4 linked regions of the Drosophila melanogaster genome follow. The protein of the gene in region 2 purifies or fractionates together with the protein of the main gene of each other region. This does not show direct contact. Each region holds a gene or a part of one and is shown on either strand. Other genes may lie near its edges. The genes, in order: sob, lin, odd and drm.

What was found.
Region 1: the proteins of lin (region 2) and sob purify together in Drosophila melanogaster (affinity purification with western blotting, with the first as the bait; one study listed by BioGRID). This does not show direct contact.
Region 3: the proteins of lin (region 2) and odd purify together in Drosophila melanogaster (affinity purification with western blotting, with the first as the bait; one study listed by BioGRID). This does not show direct contact.
Region 4: the proteins of lin (region 2) and drm purify together in Drosophila melanogaster (affinity purification with western blotting, with the first as the bait; one study listed by BioGRID). This does not show direct contact.

Annotation. Positions count from the first base shown.
Region 1 is NT_033779.5:3,575,513-3,583,474, forward strand, and holds sob (sister of odd and bowl), read right to left. Parts: upstream 5,258-7,962; 5' UTR 4,668-5,257; coding exon 3,343-4,667; intron 3,197-3,342; coding exon 2,785-3,196; 3' UTR 2,501-2,784; downstream 1-2,500. Other genes in the region: CG43815 (uncharacterized protein), read left to right, coding at 752-916. UniProt on the Drosophila melanogaster protein: Pair-rule protein that determines both the size and polarity of even-numbered as well as odd-numbered parasegments during embryogenesis.
Region 2 is NT_033778.4:8,911,259-8,920,324, reverse strand, and holds lin (lines), read right to left. Parts: upstream 5,802-9,066; 5' UTR 5,318-5,801; intron 5,261-5,317; 5' UTR 5,225-5,260; coding exon 2,648-5,224; 3' UTR 2,091-2,647; downstream 1-2,090. Other genes in the region: CG8248 (uncharacterized protein), read left to right, coding at 235-801, 859-975; CG34219 (uncharacterized protein), read left to right, coding at 1,511-1,733, 1,793-1,989; Pgi (phosphoglucose isomerase), read left to right, coding at 6,759-6,892, 7,138-7,720, 8,069-8,308, 8,371-8,899, 8,955-9,066. UniProt on the Drosophila melanogaster protein: Has a dual role as a segment polarity protein and as a modulator of the Abd-B protein. Required for Abd-B to activate the transcription of genes (including ems, cut and sal) that are involved in posterior spiracle morphogenesis.
Region 3 is NT_033779.5:3,602,361-3,609,787, reverse strand, and holds odd (odd skipped), read left to right. Parts: upstream 1-3,031; 5' UTR 3,032-3,429; coding exon 3,430-3,502; intron 3,503-3,688; coding exon 3,689-4,794; 3' UTR 4,795-5,564; downstream 5,565-7,427. UniProt on the Drosophila melanogaster protein: Pair-rule protein that determines both the size and polarity of even-numbered as well as odd-numbered parasegments during embryogenesis.
Region 4 is NT_033779.5:3,537,196-3,544,732, forward strand, and holds the start of drm (drumstick), read left to right. Parts: upstream 1-2,537; 5' UTR 2,538-2,782; intron 2,783-7,537. UniProt on the Drosophila melanogaster protein: Putative transcription factor. May function redundantly with odd and sob in leg joint formation during the larval stages, acting downstream of Notch activation.

The sequences.
Region 1 (7,962 bases), on a different chromosome or scaffold from region 2:
CAACCGAGCCAGAGGAGTCGAACAACCGACGACAACGAGAACGTTCCGCTTTTTTGCGTTGGTTCCGGGAAACGCAACAAAATTTCACAACGCACCAAAAATGTTTCCCTTCTTCTCGACTTGGCCATCATCATTGGCCCCATCATCATCGTGCCCCCGCTCCATCGCCAAAGCCGCATGAACACAACAACACCTTGACCAAAAGCAATAGCCAACTTCAAAGAATCTTCCAACGGCCACGCCTCGAACACTAGACAACAACATTGTTGGTTGGTGTTGTTGGTGCACCGAAAGAAATACTAATAGTTTGTAATTAGGATTATTTCTTGCATTTACAAACCATTGATTATAGTAGATTCGATCTAGAAAATACTCAGAAACTTTTGAAATTTCTTTAGAACTTCTGTTTTAAAGTTATATTTATTCGTGTTGTCTTATTTATACTTCTACCGAATTTTCTTACGTGTAATGTTGCTTTGGCGTTGTCGTTTTTACTGTAAGTGTTGCAGATCGAAGGTGGAATGTTGCCGCGTTGTCGTTTGCCGTTGATGGGCTTATTAGAGTTAGTCAGAGTTGTTTCCTCTTTCATTTCTCTTTTTTTTTTTTTGTCTGGGGCGGTGCGGAAACCTCAAAGCGAATTTAGTGCGCTCCCGCCCCTTCCGCATCACTCCACCACCTCGTTTCGGGGTTGTCCCCTCGCGTTTATGACGACAATGCGTTTGCTGTCATAATTATTAGTCAAACACAAACAATGAATTTCATAATTTTCCCATCAATACGGTCCAACAGCCGGTTGGAGCGACGTTGGAGCGTTCGTAAACTTCGAAAGCGTTCAAACATCCGCTCTTCCCGCACGCGCCGCTCGGAAAGAATGCTCCACTCTTGGCCGGAGGATGAGCTGGATACTACGACATAGCCTGGGGCTCTAGGGTACTCCCAAGGGGGTCGTGGTGAGGGTAGGCACTCTGTGGAAATGAAGCCGTCGCGCATAAAGTGTGAAATTGCTGGCAATTCGCAGAGACGCTCCATTCTCGGCGTTTCTCAGTCTTTGGAGGCTGTTTAGAGCCTGGACTAATGGGAGATGCCAGTGCACTCAGAGAAATAGTTGACACTAAGCTCGTACAAAAAGGTAGTGCAGACACAACCAGAAACAGACGATAGTTTCATTGAAAACTGCCGCAATATATGAATAATACCAGTACGATATTTTGGATGCTTGTTTTTAAAATATAATTGCTTCAAATATTTTGTCATTATTTTTCTCAGTGTCGCTTGCACGCTTGTTCCATTGAATAGAACAATATCCGCGCAAATATTTGCAGAGAGCAGCAAGCAGGTCGTGTTTAAAATGTTTAACCACCCGAGGAGGAGGCTGAGTGGAGGTGGGGCTGAGCAGCCGGCTGGCCACGGCAAACAAGCCGGCACAGAGCCGCGGGATCTGGTCAAGAATGGGACCCAAACTGGGACGCAGAGCTCGGACTCATCCATAATTGTTGTTTGATCGTTGTAATTGGTTTGGTTTGGGTTTGGTGCAGCTGAAGCACAGGAAATGCAACAGCAACAGTGGAGGCCCCATAAAGACAACATTGCAGGCGGCTTTACATTGATCCGTTTAACGATTGACAAACGCGCCGATCTTTTCGGGAAGTCAGAGTCAGAGTTAAGGAAAGAAAATAAAAGTAAGCTAAAGGGGTGAGATGGCCGTGGAAGGAAACGCGGTCGGCATTCGCTTTTGAACTGCACTGTATGTGTTTGTGTCGTTATGGCCGCATCTTTTTGTAGTCGATAATAAAAATTGTAAACTTTGTGGCAGTCTGGAGCTGGAGCTCCACCCTCGTTCTGGAATGGACAGCCCACTTTTCGCTATAAAATCTCTTTCGAGCTCTTTCAGCGGACACGCCCGGAATTATCTGGATGTTCTTGTGTGGGAAATGGGGTGCCCCGATATCTATATATCACACTCTAGTGGGTGGTCCTTTCGACCCGATGAGATAGCGCCTGCTCCACTTGTCCACCGGCTTGTACGACATTATTTGACTGGAAATGTGGAACAGCCTGGAAGTGGTGGGAAAATATGGGCATTTCTTTGTTTTAGCCCCACTATTGTCGATCTTGTTTTGTTTGTTGTCAAAGGCTTGTTGAAAGAGGTGTTTGAAGGTGTGCACCTTAATGCTACATTAATTGCCCTTGTTGGCACTCGAGCGATAAACATCGGTACAAATATTTGATTTTAGTTCGCTACAAGTGCGTAAATAGTGTAAGTACAAGAGTGGAATCAAAGCGGTAGAAAGGTAGAAAGGGTGAGAAAAACGTTTTGGAAAATTCTTGAATTTTGAAATGAACAACAGGCCTTTGGAAACTCAAACAACTCAAACTCCATACCCGTGGTAAAATTCTAGAATATTCAAATTATAATACAACTAACGTTCTTTTTAGTCTCAAGAAAACCTTTCTATAACCATAAGCCCAAGTCAACAATAAAAAGCCATGTGCACAATTTCCTTTAAGCTATTGTCTTTTATTCGATCGTACATTAAGAGTCCACAATTTAACTTAATATCTAACGTTAATTTACGCAAAGTCAAACTTTCCTGCTATGCTTACGTCACAAATATCCAAGGCTTAAACCAAAGTAGCTAAGGCTAAACTTACACTAAACTAAATGCTGTTTAGTCGTACTAAGATTACGATTACGAAATGGAGGGATTCGTATTCATGAGAGCTGCAATTGAGATTTTATTTTATTGAGTGGGTATCAAAGAGTGAGGAATCAGCTGAGGAAGATCAATCGCTGACGGCCACCAAATCTCTGGAGGATGCTGCAGTACTGGCGGAGCCCGTGGGCAAGCCCAACTCCGAGCTGGAGCTGGAGCCGGAGCCAAATGGATCACTTAGGTTGCCACCCACCACACCGCCCACTCCGGCGGACAAGTTATGCGTCAGGCTGTGACGTCGCAAGTCGCAGTTCCGCCGGAAGACTTTCCCGCAGGAGGCGCAGTTGTACGGCTTGATGTCGGTGTGGGTGAGCAGGTGGGTCTTCAGATTGGAACGCTGGTTGAAGGAGCGATTGCACACGGGGCACTTGTGCGGCGACTCCTCCATGTGCAGGATCTTGTGGACAGCCAGAGTGCGGGACTGACAGAATCCCTTGCCGCACTCCGCGCACTTGAAGGGCTTCTCCTTGGAGTGGATATATCTGCGGGTTACCAAAATGAATGAGGAGAATGGTGGGTTAGATTTTTATGGAAACCAAATGCTAGTCTTTTGTGACAGAGTGATTCTCAAGAGAAGGATCATTTCTTATTATACCATGAAGTAGCTTATCCGCTATTTTTGACCTACCTATGATCCCTCAGATGATCCTGCCTCCTGAAGGCCTTGCCGCAGATGTCGCAGGAGTAAGGCCTCTCGTCCGTGTGCGTTCTTTCGTGGATGAGCAGATTGTAGGACTTGGTGAACTGTCGGTTGCAGAATTTGCATATGAACTGCTTCTTGGACCGCTGGGCTGCCGCTGCCGCCGCCGAGCTGCCCGCCTCCTCCAGCCCTCCTACCGCACCTGCACCTACGCCGCCAGCCGCTCCCGAAATGACACTCATCTTGTCCTGGTACATGGTGGCCTGCAGCGAGTGCAGAGCCGAGTCCGTTTCCGCCTGGCTGAAGGCTGAGGGATTAAACATGAAGCTTCCATAGCTGCTGTCCAAATCTCCCGCCTCGAAGGAGAGAGCATCCTCGCCATCGAGCAACGGTAAGTCGCACTCTGCTGCCAGTTCTGCGGCTGTTGCGCAGTCCAGCGCCGCCTGTTGGCTCGCAGCAGCTGCTGCGGCAGCCGCAGCAGCCGCCACTGCAGCACTAACGGTGCCAATGGAGGGCAGAGGCACGCACTTGGATGTTGTTGGTGTGCTGGTGGAGTTGCTGTTGTTGCTGCTGGGCGAGGATGTGGCGGCAGCTGATGCTGTCGCTGCCGTCAAAGGGGGTTCCCCCGAGGAGCTGGAGGAGCAGCTCGACTTGAGCTCTATATTGGCTATATCGATGAGCGAGGGTAAGGCATTGTTGTCCGCTTCACTGCTGCTGCTGTTGCAGGTGGTGGCGTTGTTGCTGTTGCTGCTGCCGGTGTTGCTGTTGGAAAAGCGAAATACATCCGATTTCCCGGTTAGTCGCTGCAGCGCCAAATAGGATTCCAGGGCCTGGAGATTAAGAGCTGCTGCTGCCGCCGAATTGGCCGGCAGTAGGGCGGCCTGCTGCAAACTGCTGACCATGGTTCCTTGCAGCGAAAGAACGACCGCAGCAGCCGCTGCAAGATCGTTGGTTGCTGCGGCCGCCGTTGCTGTTGCAGCTGCCATGGCTGCGTTGCTGGTCTTACTGCCGATCGGCGATGTTGCAGCGGTGCACTTGTTGCCGTTGCTGTTGCAACTCTCGCTTTTCTTGTGCGCTGCTGTGGCTGTTGCTGCGGCACTTGGCTTGTGGTTGTTGTTGCTGTGGTGCTTCGATGTTGCTGCCTTGCTAGCTGATGATGCTGCTGCTGTTGCGCTTGCCTTGAGTTCTCCAAGCGCCTCGGCAATATCGCTGCTTGCTGCCGGTGAGGCTGCTGCCTTGGCCGGCGAATCGCTGCAAGTTGCAGCTGCAGCTGCAGCAGCAGCAGCGGCACTCAAATGCTTAACTGCCTCCATAAAAAAGTCGAATCCACGCACACACTCAGCTGGATATCGGGATAAAGCCTCGGGCCAGCGATGTTGCTGTGTTGCTGGTTGCCGTGGTGATTTTTTGTATTTTTTATTGTTTGGCGCACCTACGCAGGTTGAGAGGTTCGGAGCGCGTCCACATGAATATTAAAAACCACACGCCATCATAAATCACGTCTTAGTCACGCTTTCAAAAGTCATAAAAATCGAATTTGACGTCTGGCCAAAAACGAAAACAACAAAGTGCAGTCTCAGCCAAGTTAAGTCAAATTGGCAGGCACGCTTTTTCGATTTTTTCGACTGAAATAATATGGTAGTTCTTCTGGCTAGCACACGCGAACAATTTGGGTACAATCGATCTTTAAAATTATGTGCAGTTACTATTAGTTAACTTCCGTTTAATGCAACTTCCGGTCTTAGCCAACACAGACACATACACGTGTTGAGCTATGTATATATATATGTACGTATATATAATATTGTTTATTTTCTCTGATTCTGCCAGTTCTTCTTCTTCTCTTGACGTCGATCAGCCGTCGCTGCACACAATATTGGTAAAAGATCACGGAATAACTAAAAGTCCATTGCTCTGCGGACATATCGCGGACCTGCGCTCACTTGTTGATCGCCACATCTCTCTCGCCATTGGCGATCGCTCCCTGCGAGAGCGGATGAGAGCGTGGCCCACAAGATCACCCACGAAAAGAGCGAGCGGAGAGCGGGAGAAATTCAGGTTGGCCAGGTGCAAACTCGTTTTGTCTGTGTATTCTGAGCACCTTTACTCCCGCTCTCACCCACACACGCGCATTTAAATCAGAGGTAGAGCGAGAGCGCGTGCAAGGTGAGAAAGAGAGAACCGGTTTCTGTGGTTAATATGCCTGATTTTGATTTTGATTTTGAGTGGGTGTTTTGCCCACCCTCTCTTTCCCTCCTGGTCGTGCCATCTCTTTCTCGCCCATCGTGCCAGCTCCCTCTTGTCTGATAATATTCGTTTATTTATATAATTTTTGCAAGTAGTTGTTTATGATTCTTTCTAGGAAATTTCGCAAGCTTTGCTAAGTACTTTTAACCTTGGAAACTGAAGAATTTTGACGGATAATTAAAGGTTTTAAATATAGATTTAGGCACAAGTAACAGATGCAGCTTACATTATGAACTTGCCAATAAGAAGAAATCTCATATTATAGCTATTTTTACAAGTTATTCATACGAATAATTTATTACTATATCAAGAAAACATTGTATAGAGGGAAGAAAACTTTAAGCGAACATCCCTTAATTCACTAAAATCAAATGTGATCGGCGGCCATAAAAGGATTGCGATCGCCTGATAAGGAATTACAAGCCAGATGTTTTCTAGACATCTAAGGAAACCGTGGAGTTCCTAGTAAGGAATATGGAACAATGGTCTAATCTATTAAATATTAACGATCTTAAAAGGCTTTGGATTGGCGGTCAGATTGAAACACCTTGAGATGGTTTCCTGGAAATTATTACACTTAAAATCCATTTGCAATAGTGGAGATTTTTCCGAGTGCATCAACCTGCTAGCACTTGCAAATTGTGGCCATTAGTCAACGCGTTGATTTCTTCAGCCCCAAGCGCAGCCAGTTGATTGAAATGATTCTCATCGCACGCCATCTCATCGCCGCAGAATCGCAGACGAAAGAGCGAGAGAAGAATGCTGCCAGAAGAATCAAAAATACGCTGGCACAGCAAACCCAATCACAATTCGAATCACAGCCGCAATCATAGCTGAGACTTTTCAACTGTCAATTATTTCCTTATTCTTTATGCAAAGCCCCCAGACGCGAGTGTCCAGTGGGGGAACTCGGACTTAATGCGCTAAACGGCCCAAGTAAATGACCAATAATCATGGGAGCTGCCAGCTCTCCGGCTGCCGGTTGGTTGGCCACGAAATAAGCAGGAAAAAACTGCTGGAAAGAGCCAGTCCAGCACCGAGTGCAATTTATTTTTGCATTAAATTGCAATTTGGACCGGACTCTCAGTTTTCTACCATTTATACAGATATTATCGTGATTAATAATGCACAAACATGTCATACGCTCGTTTCGTGTGTGTTTGATTGGAGCGCATTAGGATCGCGGCATTTAATGATCCGGGAGTCTGGAGTCTGGAGACCAGAGATCCTCAGTCCCACGGTAGCAATTATGTCGCTTAGTGGCCGGCTTACGGATGATGATGATCGTCGCGAGGATGATCTCTTGCTGGAGATTGCTGGATCCCTGGATCATCCTGAATGGCGGCGCCATCAAAAGATCTGCAATCGGGATTGCGCATTCCAAGGCAAGCTCAGTGGTATTGACACAAGCTTCCTTTAAATGAAAGCCTCGGCTTAATGTCGTTATATTTCGATAGTCGCGCTTTTAAATGCTCGTTTCCTGTGCCGCCTCAATCGGAGGTTCTCCTCTTCAGGGACACGATCATCGATTGCCCGGCTCCACTTCCACTTCGACTGGCAGGTCCCCAATCCCCAGTGTCCAGACCCATCCCAAGTATCGTTGTCAGTCTCAAGGCAAATGGTACATGATTTCAAATTTCAAGTACCAGTTTACATAAAGATCGCACAGGCTTAAGCTAGCTGCACTGTGAAAAAAGTATTTAATGATTTTCAAACTCAATAAAAAATTGTATCAATAGCTTAAGAAATAATTAACCCAATGGTGTCGAAAGATTAGTTAACTGAATCCTTTTAGAAGAGAACTCCCCAGTTATGAACAGATAGGTTTCAAGAACAATTTCCCATATACATAGATGTTTTTTTAAGTGCAAGGGTAAAGGAGAAACCAGTCCCTCCTGCTCCTGGCTGCCCTATCCTTGCCCTTCCTTTCGGCTCCTTTCCTGGGCCGAGCTGGGTGGGGCGATCCGAGGGAATGCCTTGAAGCCTCACAACCATCTGTCACAAGGTCCCAGTTCCAGTCGAAGTCGCATCGGAGCCGAAGTGGAAGTCTCCATCTCCAACTCCAACTCCATCTTCAGCTCCATCTGCGTCTCAGTCGAATAAGAATGCGCTAAACTTGATTCCTTCGAAGCGAGCGCCGAGTGCGCATGCGTGGGCTGGAATTACATGATCACGATCAGCGATAAAACTTGATGTTGTACATAGCAGGCGACATGGGAGCGGGACGGGATCCGGAACAGTGCAAAAATGGGGGAGGGAGGAGCAGATCGGTACGGATCGATCCATCGCCCCATACAAAATGTCGCAAAAGTCGTACAAATCTACACGGAGCTGCAAGATCACAGCCAGGTTCACTTCAAG
Region 2 (9,066 bases):
AGACTGTTGTAAAAGTAGAGCAATAGGTTCCAATAAATATATAGACACATAGCACACTTGTCAGCGCATCTCCCTCGGTCGATTGACCTTTCAATTGCACTGGACACCCTCGTTCAACCCAACATGTGAAGCTGTGTGGGCAATCCCTATCGATTTTCCACCACGAGCGGCAGCCAGGACTCGCAGTCAACAGATACACACGGTAATTGCTTGGTAAACAGTAAGCACTCGGCTATGAAATCTCTGGCCGGCGATAAATTTGCTCTGTCCGAAGAGATTGGGCCACCGCCTTGTTCTCCCAAACACCGAAAAGCAAGTGCCGTGAGTAGGGACACGGATACAAATAACCATCATGTGGTGCCGCTGGGGATCCTCGTGGTGCTCTGCACTGTGTATCTCATGGTAGCCGGGATGCAGCGCAACTACAGGCACTATTTTAAGCCGGGCGTGGCTGCCTTCGACCTGCACCATGCCCAGCCGGAAGCCATGGCCGACGCCGAATTGGATGTCGCCGCTCCAGATGCATCGTGCCAGAGGTTGGACGTTTTCGGAAAGGAATCCAATCGGAATCAGGCAGTTTCAAGAAGATCCCAAGGCAGGCCCACGAAGAGAACCAAAAACGGCACTGGAAATGGGGTCAGCAAGCAACCTCGTCGTTTGATAAAGTCCCCGGAGGGGCACAAGAAGAAGGAAGTTGGCAAGAAGAGTAACACAGCGGAGCCCATTATTTACCTGTTCGCCCTTGTGTTTGTCTATCTGCTTCTGAAGGCCGCCTCGGACATCAACCAGCACTACAAGTCGGTAAGGATAACCCGCATTCCATTCCCTATTGCCACGTGAATAATCCTTCTTCGGCAGCAGAACAAAGGGGACAAGCGACTGCGCCGGTGCTCGCTGCAATCTTATGCCCAGATCCACAAGCAGGATCGCCGGTCATCAAAAGGTATTTCACCAAAATCTTTGCCAAAGTTTTAGCTCGCTGGGGGCCAGGTGCCTAGCCTATTACACCGTGTTAACGAGGGATCAAGTGAATTGTTATCCTATAAATCTAAATGTATCTACCACTATGTACTGAACTAGCCAATCTTCTCTACTCTAAAGCACCAGTTTTCTGACTTTTTCGGAAAATGTATTGTTGTGTATTGTGTATCTCTCGTCTGTCCTCAATCTCTATACATCTATACATCTGTACATCGCACTTTTCGGGCTCGATTATGCGTTTGATATCTGTGTTTTTGAACGACCTCCACTGTTTACCTCCTCTTCACCTATCTGTGAAACTGTACTGAATCCGAATATAAGGTTGTACATACTCGAATGTATATTACTGTCCTAAGTGTACGTAATCCTAAAATAAATCAATTACTATGTGCTTTCCTGTGATCAATTTACATACGTAGCCGTGTTAGCTTGCGTTTCATTTCCTCCGTTCGATTGGGCTTTTACGCAATCCTCTGCGATCCTCTCTCACCCCGAATCCCAAACTGACCGCTCTACATTTCCCCAATGCATGCCAAAAGTGGATGAGTCCCCCATCTTCCGGCGCAAGCATATAATCAGCGAGGAGCGTTCCGTATCTGTGGATCGCTTCAAGTACACGCTAAACGATGAGGGAGGCTTCACCAGGTCCGTTCCGCTGGTTCAGGAGTATCACTACAGGGTGGTATCTCCTTTGGCCAGCCGACCCAGTCAGCAGCATCCGCATAAGCCGGGATCCGGAGAAGCCCGTTTCGGTAAAGAGTCCCCACAACAAAGTGACACGTCCCATAAGACCAACTACTTTCTTCTCTAGAGCCTCGTCTTAACCGTCGCTCCTCGGTTCCGATCAGCATTAACTATCAAACGGTGCACGTATCGAGTCCACATCCTCCGGAAATGGCCAGGCGCGGCTCGGTGATAAGCCTCACTGGGCCACCACCAGAAGTCAGTGGTATGCCAAGTGGAGCCGCTGATCCAAAGCGGCGCGTCCGCATGATAAATCGCCATTGAAGTCCAGAAGTCCAGATGAGATCAGGACACAGCCCAACGAAATTGCAAAGAGACTACAGTATTTTAACACACCATTCGGAAACAGAAACCGCACACGTTGTAGTCCTTCTTAATGCGTTTCTTTTAATCAGTTAATTATGTTATATTATTCAAGTGTTTTAAAAAAACGTACAAAGAATATTCTTCTCGAAGACACCGAATTTACGCCCACTTCGGCGGGCAGCCGTTTGCCGCAGCATTTTGCCATCCTATTGTACATTATTCTACTTAGGGCAAGATTAAAAAAATCTTAGGCTAGCGTAGTGTTTAGTTTGGAATTCAGTACCTATGATATAACCATTATCTACGAACTAACTACGAACTTGTGATGCTCATTACAATTACAATGACAATTACATACAGCTGGGTATGTATCTGGGTTGAAAGACCTGCTGGGCGAAGCGGATGAAGAGGGTGCAAGATCTTAACTACGGTTGACGCGCTACTGGATCGGGGTGCGGAGTTATGGTCGGAGTGGTTGGTCCCTACGGCTAATACACGTATTCTACAAGGCCTCCATCTTCATCGAATTTTGCGCTAGTTTCTCCTATTCCATTAAATATTAAAATAAATTACGTATTTTAATTGCATGTGGTTGAAGTTCGTCCCTGCGCCGCATTCAGCTCAGCTCGTTGCCCTCGTACAGGCTCTCGCAGCTCTCGAGCAGGCGCAGCACGGGGGAAATGTCGTAGGGGTAGAGCTGGCGCGACACGAGGCGGGATATCTGCAGGCGCAGCCGGATAAGAACGCCCATCGCCTCGTCTAGCATGGCGCTGCCCATGCCGAAGGTGTGACAGCTGTGCACGAACATCGTCCAGTTCATGCGGATGTACTTGAGCAGGCGCAGCAGGTAGAGCAGGAAGCAGGTCTCGTTGCTCACCAGCAGGTCCAGCAGCAGGTCCGAGCTGTTCGATGTCATCTTGAGGAACTCCAGGAATGTGTACACCGGATTCAGCATGGCCACCAGCTCGGGGAAGGCGTTGTTGCGGAACGATATCCCAGACGTGACGTCCAGCGTGCAGACCATGGCCTCGATCAAGTGGTCGTCCTGGTCGTCGAACAGGTGGATCAGGATCTTGCTGAAGTGGCACTCCGGATGGAATTCCAGCGTCTGCTTTATGAACGTCTCCAGCTTGCTGAGTACATCGCGGATCGAGCGCTCAATGAGCATCATGTCCTGGAAGGCATCGTAGTCGGTGGAATCGATGGATGAGTCGGAGGAATCGCTGCGTATCTCCTTCACCGTCACCGCTATCGACTTCAGCACCAACAGCACCATCTTCTGCAACAGTGTCTTATCCATTTCGATAAGGTCCAGTGGCGCACCGTCCTCTTCGCTGTCCCCTGATTGCGCGGCATGTGCCAGGGTAATTGTTCCATTGGCGTACACCATCGGCTTGCCATTGTAGCCGATCAGACTGACCATGTTGTCCGGCTGTCGCCGCGGCAACGACTCCAGTATGCGGAAGCCGCGCACATGGCAGACTATCTGGTGAGCCAGCTTGCACGTCTCCTCGGGCAGCATGTCCTGCAGCGCCAGCGTGGAACCATAGCACAATGCCTCGTTGAAGAGGCACAGCATCTGCTTGTACACGGTGCAGGAGAGGCTGTGGCTGAGCAGCAGCTCAAACTTGTCCAGCTGGGCGTAGTAGGGTCGCGTCTCGTCGATGGACAGATTGGCCTTCACCGAGATGATGTTTTCCCATAGCTGCAAGAAGTTGAGCACACAGTGCTCGGCCGCATCCTGATGCGTCGGCGCCATCAACTCCGACATGTTCTTCACCAGCGTGGGCCACTTGTGCTCCAGCTTTTGAATGGTGATGCACTTCAGGTGCGTCGTATCGAAGCTTTCCGAGTCGGTTAGTGTGACCACATGGCAACCGCTGGGCATGGTCGTGGACTGGGGAGCGGGGTGCGGCTCGTAGGCGACGTTCATATCCTCGCCAAAGTGCCGCCGATGTCGGTCGCGGTTGTCAGGTGCTTCCTGCCCCGTCTCTCGTTCACCTTCCGTATCCTCGCGAAATTGCAGTGCAAAATAATTGGTGGCTAGCGGCTGCTCCTGCACGGGAAAATGCATGTAGCTCACGGACGCCTCTGTCGAAAGGGGCACTACTGACGAGGCTGCACTTGTACTATTCGCCGACGCCATCCAGTCGTCGTCCAGCGGATGGATCTCCATATCCTTCCACTCCACTATGCGCTTGATGATGTCCAGGCTGAAGTGGATCTTCTGCACGGCCGCCTGGTCAAGCTGCTCGAAGTTAAATAGCTGGTCGACGATCTTCTGCAGCCACTCGTCATTCAGCTCTTGCTTGGCAATCACCAGGAATGCGGCTAGCACACGTCCCGCCAGAAATTGCACGTAAGAGTTCTCGTAGCCGGCCAGCACGATAATCTCGTCGATAAGCTTGTGGTCATTGCGAATGAGTGCGTCGCAAACGTCCATTATCCGCGTGCAGATGAAGCCCTTTGCGTTCTGCTTCAGGTAGATATCGAACAGTAGCTGCAGATTCGACAGAAACTGCAGCAGCTTGTTGGTGGGCCACTCCCGCAGGTAGGCTATCCGTTTCTGGCCGTTGGTGTCCTGTGAGTAATGCGACTGGAAGGGCTTGCGCAGCGTTCGCTCCGAGACGCCGCACAGGCACTGGCGGGTCAGGGACTGCTCGAACTCCAGCATATCGTCGATGGACGTGGCTGTTGTTGCTTGCAAGCAATTGCTCCTGCTGCTAGCATGACTGCCATTGCCGTTGGTCGTGTCGAGGGTTAGCAGGTTGGGCAATTTGGCCGCCCTGTCCACTTCGTCATGGGCGGATTCAGGCTGGCTGTGCAGGTCTGTGTCCCCGTTTTGTGGCAAGATGTTGTGCAGCAGCTGGGCGTACGACGCCGCCCGGGAACTACAGGGCGTGGTGGTGGGGGAGTTGTTGGCGGTGCTTGGCGTTGACAGCGAGTGCGAAGAGGACGAGGAGAGCGAGGAGCACAGGTGGCTGTTGCTGTTGGCGTCCAGGTCCAGTATATCCGGCGGATGGGGCGGCTGGGGTGGCAGCGCCTTGGAGCCCACCTTGATTTGCTGCTCGATCTTCTGGCGCTTGGTCTGCGGCTGTTCGTTTGATGCGGAGGTCGTGGAGGTTGCTACCGTGGAGCATGGGCACACATCGCCCGTTCCGGCTCCAGATCCTGCTGCGGATGAGGTGTCCATCCTCCGCGCTGACGTACCCGACGTCCTGCAAATGGTCTGCAAGCGAAATGCCCGGTGAGCAGCGAATCTAAGCGGCGGCTCGCAGCCACATACCTACAAACCCGATTCCGACAAACAGCTTCCGTGCTACGCGCACACAAGGTTACGTGTGCAGACGCTGCTGCCTGGCTTCGTGGGGCGATTCTCTCGGCTTCCTGAGACACACTATGATTTCTTGGGGGCGACGAGGGCGCTCTAGCTGCCGCCAGGTGCTCTGACTGCTCCTCCAAACATTTTAAACGGCCACAATTCGATTTTCACACACTTGTTGCACTCTTCGGGCCAGCGACATGTCAATGTTTATGTGAGTTTCACTGCACTCGCGTTTCGCTTCGTGCCCGGGCCAGTCGATTGGGTCGTGTGCTGTTTCTCACTTTTTAAGCGCCTCCGATTGTTTCTCTGGCACTGCTTTTATTTTGGTTTTATTACACTTTATTATGTGGGAAAAAACAAAAATTAAGTGCGCGTCGCCATCTTTTAGCGAGTTTCAGCTACCTGGTAACCCTACTTGCGCAGCGTTGCCAAACGGATCTTGGTATTTGGCGTTAGCTATATACATAGCCAGGCTCGCAACCATAGCTCTGTCGTCACAACTCAATTCACATATATTTTACTTTCCGAAATGTATTATTTTTTAAAAATAATTATTGCACGCTTATAACTTTAGCAACAATGTTTGCTAAAGTAATTCTAATAACAATGACTCCGGTAGTTTTAATTTTCTAATGCGTGATAATAATTAAGTGCTTGAGAATTATAAGATTGCAGAGAACTTAACAAAAAATATTTTGTGAGAAGCTAATTACAGATAACAAATATTTTTCAATTTATATGTGCTAATTTAACGGGTAACTTTAAAGTAATTTTAAGAATGTTTTTATTTTTACATTTTTGACATTAAATAATAGAAATGCTATTCGATAGTCATTGACACCTGACAGCCCTGAACACCGAGCGTGCTGCCACATCGAGATAAAATTATGCCGTTAGCGGCGGTTAAGTCGTTTTGAAAATTTCAGTTTATGTCCTTTTGCCTACCGGTGCAGACGATCTAGGAGTAGGAAGTTCTCAGTTCATCTCCACGCGGCCACACACAGTAAATTCGCACACACTGCAAACCGATCGGCACATTAAAACAAGAGCGCGGCCGACGTGGCAACACTCGCTTGTTTTTCATTTGACATTGAAAGGTGCTCGCGAATTCCAGAAAGGACGTTGGAAAATCGGCAGCCGCTCAGTCAGTACCTATCAAAAGCAAACACGGCGAAGTTGTGGTGCGGTGCTCTGGAGATTTGCCGGAGCCAGATAATAGGAACTACCCGACGCCTAAGCAGCCGGATCCGCTATTATAAGTGAAGTGTCGCGAGCGGTCGAAGCAGTTCGCCTGTGCTCTCTTCTCCGTGTGCTACTAATTTGCATCGAGTGCTAAATAGTCCTCCCTTGCCCTTCTACTCCGCATCCGCCTGCTGTTCCTGCTTGGGATAACTGAAGTAAGATGGCCGGCCCACTTCCTCCGCTCAACCAGGAGGCAGCGTTCCAGAAGCTGCAGGAGTACTACGACTCCAAGGGCAAGGACCTGAACATCAAGGACCTGTTCGTGAAGGATTCCAAGAGATTCTCAAAATACAGGTGGGTTTTTGTGTCGATTTCGCCTCAGAGGGTGGAAGTTACGTATCTAGTTCCCGCATACATACACTCATTCGTGTATCCCCCATCGGCAATCGTTTATTCATCGAGTTGCGCTTTGCCCACTTTCACTTTCACCATCGGCTGTCGAGTGTCGCCGCCACTCGATTTGTCCTTGCGTAAGGTCACAGCAACGACCTCCGAATCGTACTTGCTCTGAGGTCAAATGTTTTTCGTTTGTTTATCAGCCTGCGCCTGCACACCCAGAACGATGGCGAGATACTGCTGGACTACTCGAAGAACCGTATCAATGACGAGGTCTGGGATCTGCTCCTCACCCTGGCCAAGGTGCGCCGCGTTAACGCCGCGCGGGACGCCATGTTCTCCGGCCAGCACATTAACATCACGGAGAACCGCGCCGTCCTCCACACGGCCCTGCGCAACCGCGGCACGGATCCCGTCCTGGTGGACGACAAGGACGTGATGCCCGATGTGCGCGCCGAACTGGCCCACATGAAGGAGTTCACCAACATGGTCATCTCCGGCGTGTGGCGCGGCTGCACCGGCAAACAGATCACCGACGTGGTCAACATCGGCATCGGTGGCTCCGATCTGGGCCCGCTGATGGTCACCGAAGCGCTGAAGCCCTACGGCAAGGGCCTTCACTCCCACTTTGTGTCGAACATCGATGGCACTCATCTGGCCGAGGTCCTCAAGAAGGTCAACTACGAGACCACCCTCTTCATTGTCGCCTCAAAAACTTTCACCACCCAGGAGACCATTACGAACGCCACCTCCGCCAAGACCTGGCTCCTGGAGCATTCCAAGGAGGTAAGTACAGCGAAAGGTCGAACATTAAATGACCTTCATTGATAGCGCTTTAAGCAAAGATAACCAAACTAATACAATGAACCATCAATGGACCCTAGTGATTTTTCTTATCATTCTATAAGAACCATTTTGACGTGTTCAAGCTATCAAATCAATTTAATGTGCTTATCAAATGCAGCCTATGGACTTAATCAAAGGCTAAATCGGATTTCAAATTCGAATTAAATGTTTCCAATATGAAATTCCACTTGCCTTAAATGTAAAATAGATAACGCAGCCAAAGCAAATAGTTACATCACAACATTTTAGTCTGGCCTATATTTGCAAACTATTTTTGTTTTGTTTTAGCCTGAGTCCGTGGCCAAGCATTTTGTGGCCCTGTCGACCAACAAGGAAAAGGTCACCGAATTCGGCATTGACAGCACCAACATGTTCGGTTTTTGGGATTGGGTGGGCGGTCGCTACTCCCTGTGGTCGGCCATTGGACTGTCAATCTGTCTGTCCATTGGCTTTGAGAACTTTGAGCAACTGCTGGATGGAGCTCACTTCATGGACAACCATTTCAAGACGACACCATTCGAGAAGAATGTAAGACTCAACTGAGAGTTAAGTAAAATGATTATAGTTAACCATTTTATTGGCTTTCCTAGGCTCCTGTTATCCTGGCGTTGCTAGGCGTTTGGTACTCCAACTTCTTCAAGGCGGAAACACATGCCCTCCTTCCCTACGATCAGTACTTGCACCGGTTCGCCGCCTACTTCCAGCAGGGCGATATGGAGAGCAACGGCAAGTTCGTCAGCAAGTCGGGCAAACCCGTCAAGTACAGCACTGGTCCGATCGTGTGGGGCGAGCCTGGCACCAATGGCCAGCACGCCTTCTACCAGCTCATCCACCAGGGCACCCGCCTGATCCCCTGCGATTTCATCGCTCCCGCCCAGACACACAATCCCATTGCCGGCGGCAAGCACCACAAGATTCTGCTATCGAATTTCCTTGCCCAGACGGAGGCTTTAATGGCCGGAAAGACGGTCGACGAGGCCAGGACCGAGCTGTCCAAGGCTGGCCTGTGCGGCAACGAGCTGGATAACTTGTTGCCCCACAAGGTGTTCGTCGGCAACCGGCCCACAAACTCGATTGTGGTGAAGAAGGTTTCACCTTTCACCCTAGGCGCGTTGATTGGTACGTCTCACTGTTTCAGCTCACGAGCACCTATTAATGTCAATTGATTTTGCAGCGCTGTACGAGCACAAGATCTTCGTTCAGGGCATCATTTGGGACATCAACTCGTTCGACCAATGGGGTGTGGAGCTGGGCAAGCAGCTGGCCAAGGCCATCGAGCCGGAGCT
Region 3 (7,427 bases), on a different chromosome or scaffold from region 2:
AAAATCTAATTTTATTCGTGGAAACACGAAAAAATACCATAAAATATGCATGGCAATGGTCCAAAAAAAGAGCAGACCAAAAAAAAAAACAGAAAGAACATTGCTAAAAACCGGGTCACAGTCCGGAGATCCGAGAGTCAAGAACCAAGGGTCTTCTGCGAAGTGTCTTTGGGCGATTTTATGATGCCAAAGAAGCGACTAAGTAAGTTGTCATTTTCGGTTTATGATGATTTTGTGATTTTTTGCTCTCGTTGTTATATTTTTTACGCTCTACATATTTGTACTTCGATTTTCGATTTTTTTTTCGCAGGCCAGGACCTCCGCAAAACAATGGCAGACTACTAATGTCGAGCAGGCCGAGAGTTTTATAGTTTTTTATGGCTTTATGGCCGAGCCAATGACTTCTTTATTGGTGCAGGTCCTTGGCGCGGAGGAAGCGTTTCAGGTCTTTCCAAATTATTTTTTATGGCCATCGTTCCTGCTTTCCGCATCCCTACGATTTGGTTTCCGTTTCCGAGTGTCGGAGGATCTCTCTACTATAAATCTCGCGTTTTCCACATGCAAATAGTGGGACATGTGTTTCCCCCGGGAGAGGGCTAATCCTTTTGGCCATGTGTTGACAGGCGCAACAACAATAGTAACAATATTAGTAACGACAACAAATGGATATAGCAGGAAGTCAGCCAGTGCGATGCCATATATCATGTGCTGGGAAATATTCGGCCTGTGTCTTTCATGTGTCTCCACTCCGCTGGTGTTTATCTATTTATTTATTTATTTGCCTTTGTACACTTATGACATGATGTTAATTACCGCTCGCGACTCCACAGGCCGAAAGGCAGGGAACCGAAAGGGTGGGCGGAGTCCGGGCCGTCACTTTGAAATGGAAAAGTTCGCCGACTGTTTGCCAACCGTCAACAGCGGCGACAATTGCCAAACGCCGAGGCTAAAGCTAACCGACACTGGCAAACCGACGGTACATCCGATCCGATGTTGGAACGGATCGAAAATCAAAAATCGACAATCCGAGAGTTCCAGACACACGCACTCTGGGAAAAAACGTCCTGCAGCAGGACCTTTGCCTATTGATTCAGGCTGTTTGATCATTGGCTCGCCGCCGCTTGGGAAAGTTTGTACTAAATGTTGTGTACATATTGCTTAATTTAATCACCCAAAGTCAATCCTGCCAAGGACCGCTTGTGACGGAGTGTGTCGCAATGGGCTTAGTCTCAGGATCCTCGGATCCTAAGTCCGTATACGGGTAAAACCAGTCAATGGGAATGTTTCTTGTTTTGCCAAGTTAAAGGATTAGTCGCAGATCCATTGCGGAAATGCTTCACCTGGAAAGTCGACAAGTCAAAGTCATGGGAATGTACGGAATTCGGAAGCAGGATAATAGGATATGCATTATCCATGTTTTGTCGGACTTGGGAAATATCTTATAGTTGGCGGAAAATCCAACCGAAGAATAGGATTTAATTCGGAAGCATAAATATGGCATGTGCAATTTAAAACTATTCATTAATGAGGAAAATTCGTATTTTCTTGAATGCTATGAAATATTTGTCTTTTTAAATGAGATATGAAAAATATTAATTATATAGAAGCCCGAATAATAATAATAAAAATTGTAAAGATATTTAACTACAATATCCTATAAATAACAACTACATTAATTTGATGCTTCAATAAATTTTGATTGGAAACATTCAACCCGCAGAACTTATATCTTTTAACCTTTTCCTATGACTTTACCTATTTCTAGTTTCCAAGCAATTTCCTTCAAAATATGTTAAGAAAACTGCCCATAAAGTGCACCTGCTTGTCTCGATTCAATTACAAATTATTAAATAATTATCCAAGTGAGTAGCATGAAGCATTTCGAATGAGGAACTCATTAAAGATGATTTGACAAGCTCGAGTCGCACTTCAGTTGAAAACGGTGAAAGTTCAACTATTACTTAACAACTACTTAAACAACTGAATTACAATAAATACAATACTGAGTAAAATAATTAAAAAAACTCGAAAATAAATGGTGTGTGAAAGGCATACCCAAAACTAACCAGTAATTGTGTACAATCCTTTTAATAAAGTCTTTCAATTACATTACCATTACCTCAAACTCGTCGTTAATTTGCTGTAAAATATGTCCGGCTTATCCTGCCGGAAACCCTTTTAAAAGCCAATCAATTTTCGCTACAAACGGCCGTTTCCACCCACTCGAAACTTTTATCGCCATCGCTTTGAAGCGGCTAATTGAATTCCAGATTAAAGTGTAAAGCAAAATGGGGGGGAATAAAAAAAACTGATTTGTATTGCAAATTAAAATTTAAGTGAAAACGAATCAGGCGCAAACACAAACAGGGACAATAGATTACAATATCCTGCGGCGCAGACAGCACGACATTAAAAAGGCACGAGGAGCAGCGAGAGCTGGCGCGGAATGGGTATGGACATGGCAATGGAGGTGGAAGGGACGCGCCAGGACGACACAGGACCTTCGTGCAGCTGCTGCTCCTGCTGATGGCACATGCGCCTGGGAGGGCTGCGTTTCGGGATTGGGACTGGGATGCGGGCTGGACTCCAGCGATGGCTGCCTGCCATCAGCGGCAGAAGCAGCAGCAGCAGCAGCAGCTACAGCAGCAGCAGCAGCAGCAGCAGCAACGGCAACGGCAGCAGCAGCAACTACGGCAGCAACATCGGCAGCAGCAGCAACACCAACAATATCCCAGGCTTGCGACCGTCAGGCCAACGGTTTCCGCTTGCTTACTGCTGGAACGGAAAAAGCCAAGGCACATATATCCATGCACATCCACAGGCACATTCGGTCGGAGCCACATCCATGGGATAGTAGATACCGAACGCTGAGGGCCAATCCGAGAGCAGCAGGTAGGCGTGGACGTATCTACCATTTCCAAACAACTTCAACCCCGCCACAGGCAGCTGCCGTTGGTCGGGCCGCTCGCCACCCTCGTCGCCCTCCTCCGCACTTCTCGGCCGGTTCAAAAACGGGTCGCCCTGCCAGCAGTTGCAGTCAGTTATTAACGAGCGCTACTCCCAACAGCAACATCGCTCAGCGGCAGCAGCAGCAGCAGCAAAAGCAAAAGCAAAAGCAACACTAACAACAGCAACACGAGTCACTCAAACGTGGAAGCGAGACAGGAATATCAGCACTCCACTCGCCTCGTTTCACTTCGATTCTCAAGCGTTTGAGTCGGAGAGCGGCGAACGGCCAACGAATTCAGTTTGTGTCGAGACGTTGTCGGTGGCACGTCGCATCCAAAAGAACGCTCAGTCAGCTGGGAAATATACTGAGAAAAGATACATTCGTAGATACAAGTGCTAAGCCAAAGTGAACCGTGCAGTTCGCGCAACTAAACAATTTTAAGCCAAATAAAACTACACAAGGCCAACAAAGACAGTATAATGTCTTCCACATCGGCCTCACCCATCAGCAACATAACCGTGGATGACGAGCTCAACTTAAGCAGAGAACAAGGTGGGTTCAAGTTCAAAACTGGCTCAGAACAACTTGGCAAATGCCGACGGCAAAGCGCATTACTCTCTAGCACTTTTTGACTAGTTTCAAAAAATGTTCCATTAATATTTGAAAGTAGTCTCACATAGCATTGCATTTATATGAATTGAAAACTAACCGTGGGCATTTCTATTCCTTCCTTTTTAGACTTTGCTGAAGAGGATTTCATAGTGATCAAGGAGGAGCGCGAGACAAGTCTCTCCCCCATGCTGACGCCCCCGCACACGCCCACCGAGGAGCCGCTGAGGAGAGTGCATCCGGCGATAAGCGAGGAGGCGGTGGCCACCCAGCTGCACATGCGACACATGGCCCACTACCAGCAGCAGCAACAACAGCAGCAACAGCAGCAGCAGCACCGCCTGTGGCTGCAGATGCAGCAGCAGCAGCAACAACATCAGGCTCCACAGCAGTATCCAGTTTATCCCACAGCCAGCGCCGATCCCGTGGCCGTGCACCAGCAGTTGATGAACCACTGGATCCGCAACGCAGCCATCTACCAGCAGCAACAGCAGCAGCAGCAACATCCGCACCATCATCACCACCACGGCCATCCGCACCACCCTCACCCACATCCGCATCATGTGCGTCCCTATCCCGCTGGCCTCCATAGTCTGCATGCCGCGGTCATGGGTCGCCACTTCGGAGCCATGCCCACCCTGAAACTGGGTGGTGCCGGTGGAGCGAGTGGTGTACCCAGCGGCGCAACTGGCAGCAGTCGGCCAAAGAAGCAGTTCATCTGCAAGTACTGCAACCGGCAGTTCACCAAGTCGTACAATCTGCTCATCCATGAGAGAACCCACACGGACGAGAGGCCTTACTCCTGCGACATCTGCGGCAAAGCCTTCCGGCGACAGGATCATCTGCGGGACCACCGGTACATCCACTCCAAGGACAAGCCCTTCAAGTGCAGCGATTGCGGCAAGGGTTTCTGCCAGTCGCGCACCCTGGCCGTGCACAAGGTCACCCATCTGGAGGAGGGTCCGCACAAGTGTCCCATCTGCCAGCGGAGCTTCAACCAGCGGGCCAACCTCAAGAGTCACCTCCAGAGCCACAGCGAGCAGAGCACCAAGGAGGTGGTGGTGACCACCTCACCAGCCACTTCACATTCGGTGCCAAACCAGGCATTGAGTTCGCCTCAACCTGAGAATTTGGCACAGCATCTGCCTGTCCTGGATCTATCCTCGTCATCCTCGAGCTCAGAGAAGCCCAAGCGGATGCTGGGCTTCACCATCGATGAGATCATGAGCAGATAGATTGAAGGACCAGCGAAACCCGGTATCCGGTTTCTTTTGAGACATTCTAAAAGAGATTCAGAGAGCTGGACGTCCGCCAGGCATGGGAAATGCCTGGAATGGAAAACCAAGCGAGTCCAGCCCGCATTCTGGCCAAAGGTGCAAGTGGAAAATCCTCGCCAGCAACTCGTAATCGCAACCCAGTGAGCAGAAGAGTCATCCTCCGTGCAATCGGTTCTATGTAGCAGATCCCAATTGCGTTAAACAAATGCCAAAGTCAAATAGCAGAGGAAAACTGATGAAAAATCCAATGAAAAGTATTGCTAGCACAAGCCTCCTACAAATCGATTCCAAAACACACACACACACACACAACTGTAAACTATAAACTTTAATAAATAGCACATAATTTATATTGTAATCTAACTATTATTGTATGTACCTTATAGTCGTAGTAGCCCATTCAGTTCGTAGTGCTTATGGAGTAAACCAAATGTTATGTTACAATAGCTCAATCAAACAAACCTCAAACCCGCTTTGGTTATTGAAAGACTGTTTTAATTATTATATTTAAATAGTACTTGAATAAATCAATCGATCGATTGTGTAATGTTAAACCCCGACGAGTGTCATGATTACTTACTGTTTAGACTTAACAACTTAATTGTCGCTATAGCAATTGTGACTATGCACAACGATCTCATTGTCGTCTATATGTATGTCTGAAACATTCGTATTGATATGAAGTTATCACAAAAATACGTAAATATAAACGCAAAGTAATTTTCAACTGAAATTTAATAAGACTTTTTATGAATACGGTGGATTTTGTGTTTCCAGGTATTTGGCAATGGCAATTTCGCCTTGATTTATCATTACTTCTACTGGCAACTTGATAATCTTTATGGTGTACTAAGTTAAAGTTATCTGAAAAGATTTAAGCAGCAATTTTTTGATTACCTTCTACCACCTACTGACTGATTCAAGTTCCAAGCGGACTGAATGATTTTGATCTACTTTTAATCACTTTGAAATCTTTCTTATCCGCTGACTAAATCCCACGCCATTCCGATTTGGGAATTTTCTCATGCTGCGAATATAACTCAGTAGACTGAACTCGTAGGACCATATAAGTTGAACCATCAAACAGCAGCTGTCAAAATTTATTAACCATCCGAATATAACTCAGTTTTTATGCAGATCTCGATTTGCGCATTTTTAAGCAGCTCTATTATTTTTCAGGTTGCCGATTAAGTAAGCAGAAGTCTCGCCACCAAAAATATTCAAACTGTCGCAGAAGTTAATTTATGAAATCGAATCGAATTGAATTTGATGTCAGTTTTGCTATGATTTTGTCATGAATCGGTTTCGATTTCGGTAACACTATGGTTATTGTTTAACTTTGAGGTGTGGTCCAAATATTTATGGCCTGTGTTTCAGTTTTGGGTTTAGTTCAGTTTTCATTGTGGCTTCTCTTGAAAATCGGGAACGTGCCAAATGCCTTGCAAAAGGTATGTTTGATTTCCTTTAATGGTGGTTTTCTTTTCTAGTTTCTTCCATTGGCAATTGCATTTCTCTTAGCACGCTTCTTACTCAGAACTGTCAATTTCAGATTGTGATCTTTGTCTCAAAATCGAGCATAGGATTGTCTTTAATTGAGGCCTGAGGTCGTTCTGGTTACCCCCGGGGGGAACCCGCATGAGGGGTCTGCATCTGCCTCATTTGCTGCTCGATTTCCATTTCCATTAGCATTTCCATTTTCCATTTTCTCCACCTTGATGACATACTCTCGGGCCTTATGGCCATGTACAATTGATTTGGGCCCTCTCATTGTGTTGGCTTTGATTTGCTTTGTTTTCGTGCCAGAAAAGTGCCAACGTATTCGCCAATTGATGTCTACATAGATGCCTTTTTTTTTGCCCAGGATTACTTTTGACAAGTATCCTGGCCGCGCCCCCTTGGCCATGCATATCCTGCTGACTTTGGCCAAACCTTAACCTTAGTCTTATCTGGCCGAGTTGGTCGGGTGGTCAACCGTAGGACTTGTGTTCCGTGTTTTGCAACACTTCGCCGCAGGCAGTCTAAGGACCTCGAGGATCTTGGTGTCCTGGCATTTCGACACACCTTGTCCATAATTGCACTGCGTACAACCAAAATATTTTGTGAAAGTCACAGCGGGAGGGCGAGTTATCCCGACCAGATTGATATGTGTCCGCATGGGGTTGTGAGTCCCTTTTTTTTTGGGCCATTTTGAGCCACAATTAAACGCATCGGTTCCGCAACTAGGGTGGCATGCAGCTCCGTGTCCTGTGGATGTCCTGCCATTGTAAATTGTAGTGGCAGGACGTGCTGGAAAGTCGCCTGCCAAAAGTGAGCCATTTACTGCCACAGGGGCAGTCTCCTCCTATTTTCTGCTCCTACCGAGCATGCAATTTTAATGAGCTGCCCGGGGGAAAAGGAAGGATCGGCATAGGGGCACATCCCATTGTCCAGGACACGTTCGCACTTGGCCCTGTTCGCCTTTGGGCCGGGACCACCCTGAAAAGCCAGAATGATGATGTTGTAAGCCGGTTGGTCGACAGGTCGGCTGGACGACTGGTCAACTGGCCAACTGGTCAACTGCTGAGGTGTTCAATTAAAACGTTGCAAATCAA
Region 4 (7,537 bases), on a different chromosome or scaffold from region 2:
TGACAGCCCAGCCAACTACCGTGTGCCAAATGAAGAAATGAAGAGCTTAAGATGGAGGCAAGTCGGGGCCTCGTCATCACCGGAATCATCAGCACCAGCGACATCATCAGCATCATCAGCTTCATCGGCATCATCGTCGCCAACTGTTGACAACGCCTTGCTGCGGTGGCTGCGGTCCAGTTTCATTATTATTAACCAAAAAGTATAAAAACTGAATCCGAAAAAACCCCGACGGATCCCATTCAACGCCCACGTCTTCGACATTTGCCTGCTTCCACAGATTCATCCGTGTATCTTCGCGTATATATTTATTATAATTTTTTGCATCTGCCTTTTCTTAGCTGTAGTCTTTGTTGCCTCCTCCGAAATTTATGTGACCGCATCGCTGCCGTATGAATTTTTAATTTTTCACCAATCTTCATTTTTTTTACTGTTCGATTTTGTTTGCCTTTTTAATATTGGCAATTAATGAAATTTAATACTTTTGTGTGCACTGTCTGGCGCACAAGTTTTGGGTCGTTGGAATTTATGCTGGCCCTAACTTTATTTGTTGTTAGATTGAGAAAGTTGCGAGGTATTTGTCAAAAATTTAGGGGCTTTTTAAGTGACAGATTATTTGAAGATGATAGATGAGTAAAGGATGCGGAAAATCCAAAAAAAAATGACTACATATGGATGTGAAGGTCAAATTATTGTTTGTTTATGATAATAAATACAATAATCTTTGTGAACCAAACAACCTTTCAACATCGAGTGAAATATTGCATCACATTCCTCGCCTCTGAAAACAAAGTCTTCAAAATTGCCAAGTAAGCCAAGTCATTTTTCAGACTCTTCTTTGGAGGGTTCATAATTAGTTTCTCCTTCAAAAGGAAGCTCCTCACAATTGTCGATACGTCTCCTTTTCGAGTTTGCTGATTGGCCATTTAAAATATGCAAATTTGATCCGAAAAACAATAAGACAGATGGACACAGATGGAGTGAAACAAAAGCGAGGCGGACAGAGATGAAGCCATCAAAGTGGAGTTGCCAACGGATTGCACTTAAAAATGCCCAAAAGCAGTCGAAAATAATTTGTTAAGCTTTATGGACAGGCGAAAACTTAATTAAAAACAATCCTTTTCTGGCGCACCTAATTAAAAACACTGGGTGTTAAGTTAATGAAGTTTCTTGCTGAATGAACGACACAGTTTTTCAGATTTCATTGAGAAATCGTAAAAGATAAACAGATATGGTGAGGCACAAAAGATAAACAGACCATCAATATGGTGTTTTTGTAGTATTATTTTTTCGGGTCTAAAGAGGCCACACAAGCAGAAGAGCGACAACAAAGGCGGAGGCGGCAAAGCCAAAGGAAATGCGAGAAAAAAGTTTCTCAGGCCCTGAAAACAAAATGGAGCTCCACAAAAAAAGAAGATAAATACACTAAAAATTGAGCACTGCGTAATACGGTTGCTCTGCTCTGCCACTGGTTTTTATATTTGGCCTCTCGCTCGCTCGCAAAACGGGTTAAGAAGCAGTTAAAAAGGGGGTGAGCGAGCGAGACGGCGCGAAAGAGTGGGACAGACAGAGCGCCGCCCAAAGCCACGCCCACATCTATAAAAATATACACAGGTATAAGTGAAAGAAAGTTACCTTTTTAGCCAAACAGCAGCTAGAAAGACAGAGAAGAAGTCCGAGGAAATCCAAAGAAATCGCAAGCTTATTACAGCCCGCATTATCCAGCACACCTTTCACTCATTAGTCGCCTAAACTTAATTGAAATGTTGGCTTACTTAAGCTTAATTAACAGTCAACTCAGGTAACGCCTTCGAAACCACTCAACTCAGGTAGCCTTCTCTCGCTCGCTCACTCTCCAGTTTTCTCAGTTCGCTCTTTAGCTCATTTTCCTCCGACCAATCAGCTGAAACACTCAAAACTCGTTCTCCGCGACCCAAACAGTGCGTGGGAAAGGGACAGCCAACCGAGAGAGGGCTGTAAAAAAGAGGGTAACCAAAAAAAGGAAAACAGAAAAAGTTCAACCCATCAAGCTGAAGTTTTCGATCGTAACTTTGCAGTTGACTCTCGCGCACAGAAGCGTTCGGAAGTGAAATATATTTTATTAATAATATTACCCAACACAGTGCTACCAAACAGAAATTGCATACAATTTGTGTCTTGCCAAATAGCAAACGGAATTTCGTGCTTTCGCAATAGGTAAGTGACGCCATTTTGTGACTTTTACGCTTGGCTTCCGTTAGAAGAGACGCCATTTTGTGGCTTCCGTTTGCCAGCTTCTGTACTTACGCATAAGAACTTAGGGCGAGCGAAAGGGATGGCTAGCGAGCGCTGCGCATGAGCAGTAGCTTCGGCTACCGGTCTTCGTTTTGCTTCGTTTCTCTTCGGATGACTCACACACACTTACACACACTCACACAGTGCCACCGAATTGAGTAACAGACAGGGACAGAGCGATGATCTCGCTTCCTCAACTTGCCAGCAGCGACGCCGGCAGCGACGCCGACAGAGGACGGCGGCAGAGGCGACTACTATTTCTTTCAGTTATTAGTAGCATTCATTCATTCAACTTTGTGCCGCTCGAGCGTGCGTATATAGTTCCCTCTCATCAGTAACAGTATCAGTAACAACATCAGTAACATTTCCTTCGCGAGTACCTTCAAAAGAGATACAAATCGATCTATCCATTCAGCGGACATACGAAAATCGCACAAAACTCAGCTATAGAAATCGGTTAGCCTCTACTCGAGTCCGAAGAACGCGTAACTCCAGTGCATCCCATTGGGTAAGTCTTTCTTCAGCTCCTCTCTTCAATGGCGTTCTTCGTGTTCTTCTGTTCGTCGTTCTTCCCCCTTCCACACTTGTTTCGCTACCAGTTTTACGCCGCTTTCATTGGACAACTGAAAACTGAGCAAAGAAAAGAAGAAGTAAACCCCACACGTAACACGGGTGCGTGTATCGGCCTCTCTTTCTGCCCGGGCCTCTCACTTCGGCTCTTTAGTGTGCCAGAGGGAGAGGGGCGATGCGTCTAATATGGCATGCGTGTGGCCAACGGAGCTTTTCGGCCTCTGTGTGCGTGAGAAAGTGTCGCCATTTGCCAAAATGGCGGACGCCAAGTCCGAATATTTCCCTATTGGACTGTAAAAAGTTTTTACCCGCACTTCTTGACACGAATTCCCCAAAATGGGTGATCTACTTGAAATACAACCGAGTTTATTGATCTCTCATTGTATAGTACAAATGTGTTATTAATTTCCGAAATGAATGAAGAAGAAATAATTTGTATCTCATAAAAAAATGCTCATTAATTTTCGAAAAGAAAACTATTTAATATTATTTTCTATTAAAGTTGGTCTAAAAAAACATTTGAGCTCTCTTCAGAACAAATATAAGTTTTTATTGTATCCTAAACTTTCAACCTGTTCTATTTTTAAAGGTTTCAGTCGTTTTCCATTGAAATTGTCTAGGAATTGAAAACTCTTAAAGCCGTCGGCATTTTTTCAGATTGAAAGAATAGAAGCTGAGAAGTTTAATGAGTCAGCATTAAGAACAAAAAGCCTAGTTTGTCGAAGGTTGATCGCGGACGCACAAAACACGGCAAATCATCGCCAAGAATGTTTGGCATATCATCATCAGCCGTTTTGGTACAAGTTATTTGCCTATGAGTCATGGAGTTGTGCTTTTTTCATTGGATTATGAAATACCAATGAGTACGGCTCAAGCTAACAACAGATGTTCAAAAAGTTGCGTCAAAGTCAGGTACTTTGAAATACCTGAGATTTGGCACTTGTGCGAAAATTCCAATGAATCTGGTGCGAAATCGCAGAAATCAGAACCCATATTCTAGGGGAACTTTCTGGAAGTAGGACTAACATTTACAATATAGGGAAATTCGTTTAACATAGTTATACTGAAGTAAAGTTGTTGTAAGAGTTTCGTGACCTCTGAAATTCTTACTGCTTTCCCGCGACCATTTCTTTCCCGTCTGTCTGATCTTTGACCTCGTCTGGACCTCCCGCTGCGCTCCATCAATTAGAGTCTAATTAGCTAAGCGATTACGGTAAATGGGCTCAGCTGGCAGCTAATCTGCGCCGACTTTTGAGCAACTGTCATATCTTACGGGCTGAAGGTGAGAAGCGTCCGAAATCGACTTGCTTCGGCCACGAAATTCCCATCCGATTTGCGATGGATCTAGGGAAGATCGCTCATACCTTGCCGCATTGTATCTTTGTATCTTGTGGTGTGTTTGTGTTTGGGGTTACGAAGGTATTCCTTTGTTCGCACTGAAGTGGCAGTGCCACACATCCTAATTGTTTCCACCGACTTATTGGTTCTGTTGTCAGGCCAGGATCTCGTGTGTGTGGGTGTTTTTCCCGGGAATTCTGCGCCATTAGCACAATTAGATTCGTATCAAATGGACTTCGGTGCCTTTGTCTTCAGAGCCTTATGTCCTTTTATTGTCATTTTTTCTCGCTTCGGTTTCTTCTTTTCACTTTTCGGTTGTAATTTTTAATGGCACCTTGCCAACTCACTGTCCGCCTCCTACAAAAAATAAAGGGATGACCACGGTGCGAGGTGAAAGAAGTGTGGTAATCGCTTTCGACCATATCCCACGTCCTGCGACGTGTGTGTCACTGCTTTGAGCCCTTTTTTTGGACCCAGTTTTGAGCCTGTTATCGCCCATACCGCTACACATTTATCTCGGGGTGTTAAACTGTAACTCTCGAGGCGGCTCGAGTTTCGTGGAAGCCCCCGACGCACTTACTTCTCTTACCAGAGATCTGGCCATATATAATCTCACTCTCTGTTTGCAGTTTGCCATTTTATTTCTCTTTCCCATCGCTGCAAATCTAATTTCACGCAGCATTAACGCCTTTCGCATGCCCTTCACACGGAAACCCAAAGTCCAGAGTCAGGATCATGCTGTGCTGAAGATCTCCCAGAGATCTCCAGATTTTCAGATCTTCACATCTCAACCTTCCTGTCCGAAACTATGTGTGTGTGCACAACACTAATAATTTTCAGTGCGGATTAATGGGATTATCTTTGAGTTGGACAACAGTTTATTATACAATATTTGGGCAGTTTTCCCTCCGTCTCTGTGGGTGTTCGTTTTTCGCATAAGCGGATTGTAATGTCCAGTTGCAAAATACTAACAGTTGGAGACCGTTTAAAGTCCCGGATCGGAGAAGGTGCCAAGTTAAGCCCGTTTGGATTTGCCATGACTTTGCACAGGTTTTTAGATGGATTCGGATGATTGTTTTGCTTGGATTTTCAACGGATTAAAAGGATATACCAACTTGATCAAAAGATTAGGATTATAACTGTAGGAAGATGCTTTACCTTTCAGTTTTGCTGAGTTAATATAATGAGATTGACTTTACCAATATGGATAGACCATGTGCCATTGGACACCTTTATTATTGGAATGCCCCAGGCCAGCTAACTTAACCTTCCAAATTGATGGGCTCACTCAATTGTCAGCTCGAATTTCACTGTTCTCGAAGGTCTCCCCCGCCCATTTTGCCCCATCCCCAGACTGAAGACAATTCCATCGTCATTCGACGCATCCAGCAAATGGCCAAATAGAGTGCTTAACCCCGGAGAGCAACCCGTGGCTAATGGTGCTCCACTTAGGCCCACGCTCCCAGAGACAAACTTAATACAAGTCCACGTCCAAATGCGAGTCCGAGTCCAAATCCAAAGCAAAGCATGGCCAAATGCGAGACCGATCGAGGCGGAGAGACCCGGACCCAAAGAATCCATATCGAATGGATGGCCTTATGCAGGCGCCCTGTGTCGCATGATTAACGGCGTTAAAATGCCAATGTGACGCCACATTGTGTACACAAATTAACATTGGAGGAGTCTCTTTTGGCCAGGCCTTTGAGCCGATCTTAGCCGAGTCCCAGTCTCCCACCAGACATGACCAATGCGATCAGCGACCCAGGCCCGAACCCGTGCACCTCACCCACTGGGCGAAAGCGGGGTATCAAAGTGTTTGAAAGTTGCTTTCATTATTATTTACTTGCTTTCATTATTATCTTTAAAATAACATCTTAAAAATATAGATCATATGACCTTCCAGCATTGTTCCACGCGGTTACTTTTTACTTTTTAGTACGAGAAGACGTTTTTTTTCTGAGTGCAGGACTTGAGCGCGGCTCAGTGTTATAATTTGAATATGTTTAGTGGGCATTAATGTTATAATGACAATAACTACGTACCGTCTGCGGCCGGTGCAGCACCCGCTGTGACGTTTGCCTTTTGTTGTCAACGTTAGCTCCCCGACCGCCGATCACCAAAGCGAACCCGTTTCCACATCCATTCCCATTCCCATTCCGATGCCCAATCCCAATCCCATTCCGAATCCGAATCTCGATTCCCATTGCCAGTCCCGGTCGCAGTCGCAGTCCCAAAAGTGTTCCAGCTGCGAGCTGAAAGCACCATAACATATAAATAAATATCGAAATCGGGTCTTGCCGAGACGCTTGTCGCTACCAGTCAGCGCTGGCTTTTGTTTCGCGCAGAAAAATTCCCGAATACGCCGGGCGAAACAAAAAGGCCAGTAAATCTGGGAAATATATATCCCGAAAAGAAAAGGCCTGGGAGAGAAGTCAGAGATCCAGCGGCGCCGAAATGACAAAAATAAAATTACATAAAAAATAACAGTTGTTAACTACCGCGCGGGCGGGAGGGCAGCACGGAATACGCATCGATGGGCATAAATTTCGATCGGCTACGCAAGGCGCCAATTAAAAATAAACTTGTTACAGCGCCACCTTAATGAAGTGGCCAAAAACAGGAAGAATTTGGCAACTGTACTTGGCCATAACGCGGCGGGGGAATTGCCGAAGGCTGCAAGATGACTCACTTAATTTAGAAATGCAAACCGACCATGGGAACTTCGGTATTTATGGTCATAACTTCGTTAAAAATTGGTATGCGGCGTCTTTTTTTGTCTGCCAGGAATCCCTTTCCAAATGGTTTTATTAAGGTTTCAGCATTTAAGCTCACGGTATCCCTTCATATCTTGGTTATCAGAAATGTATCTTTGAGTTCGTTTCATAACTTTTTAGTAGGATGTAAAGAAAGTTGGTGTTCAAATATCATTTCTTCGGCCTTGTGAAATCTCTCAACTAACTGCCTGCCCCACTAATGGAATATCTGTGTTTGCGGAAGTAGGTACAGTGCTCTTCCGTCAATGAACTTCGCAAAGCTTTGAGAGAAAATGTATATATTAAGTGTATATACATTTGTACACCCAGAGACAACGGTGAACAATCGTTGGTGTCGTTGAAGACAAATCATTTTAAATCCCGCCGAAGGTTAGCAACTGTGAAAAACAGTTGTCTGGACGTTGGGGTGATTTGTAAATGTCAACACCGCGTCCGAGGTGCGGATTCGGTTGCCTTTAATGAGTCATGGGCGATTTCATGTTGCGTGATCTTGACTTATTTGTGGATATAATATGTACGCAGTTGTGGTCAAAACAATGGCACATCGGTTTATCCATAAATTAGTTGAATTGTTTACCAAC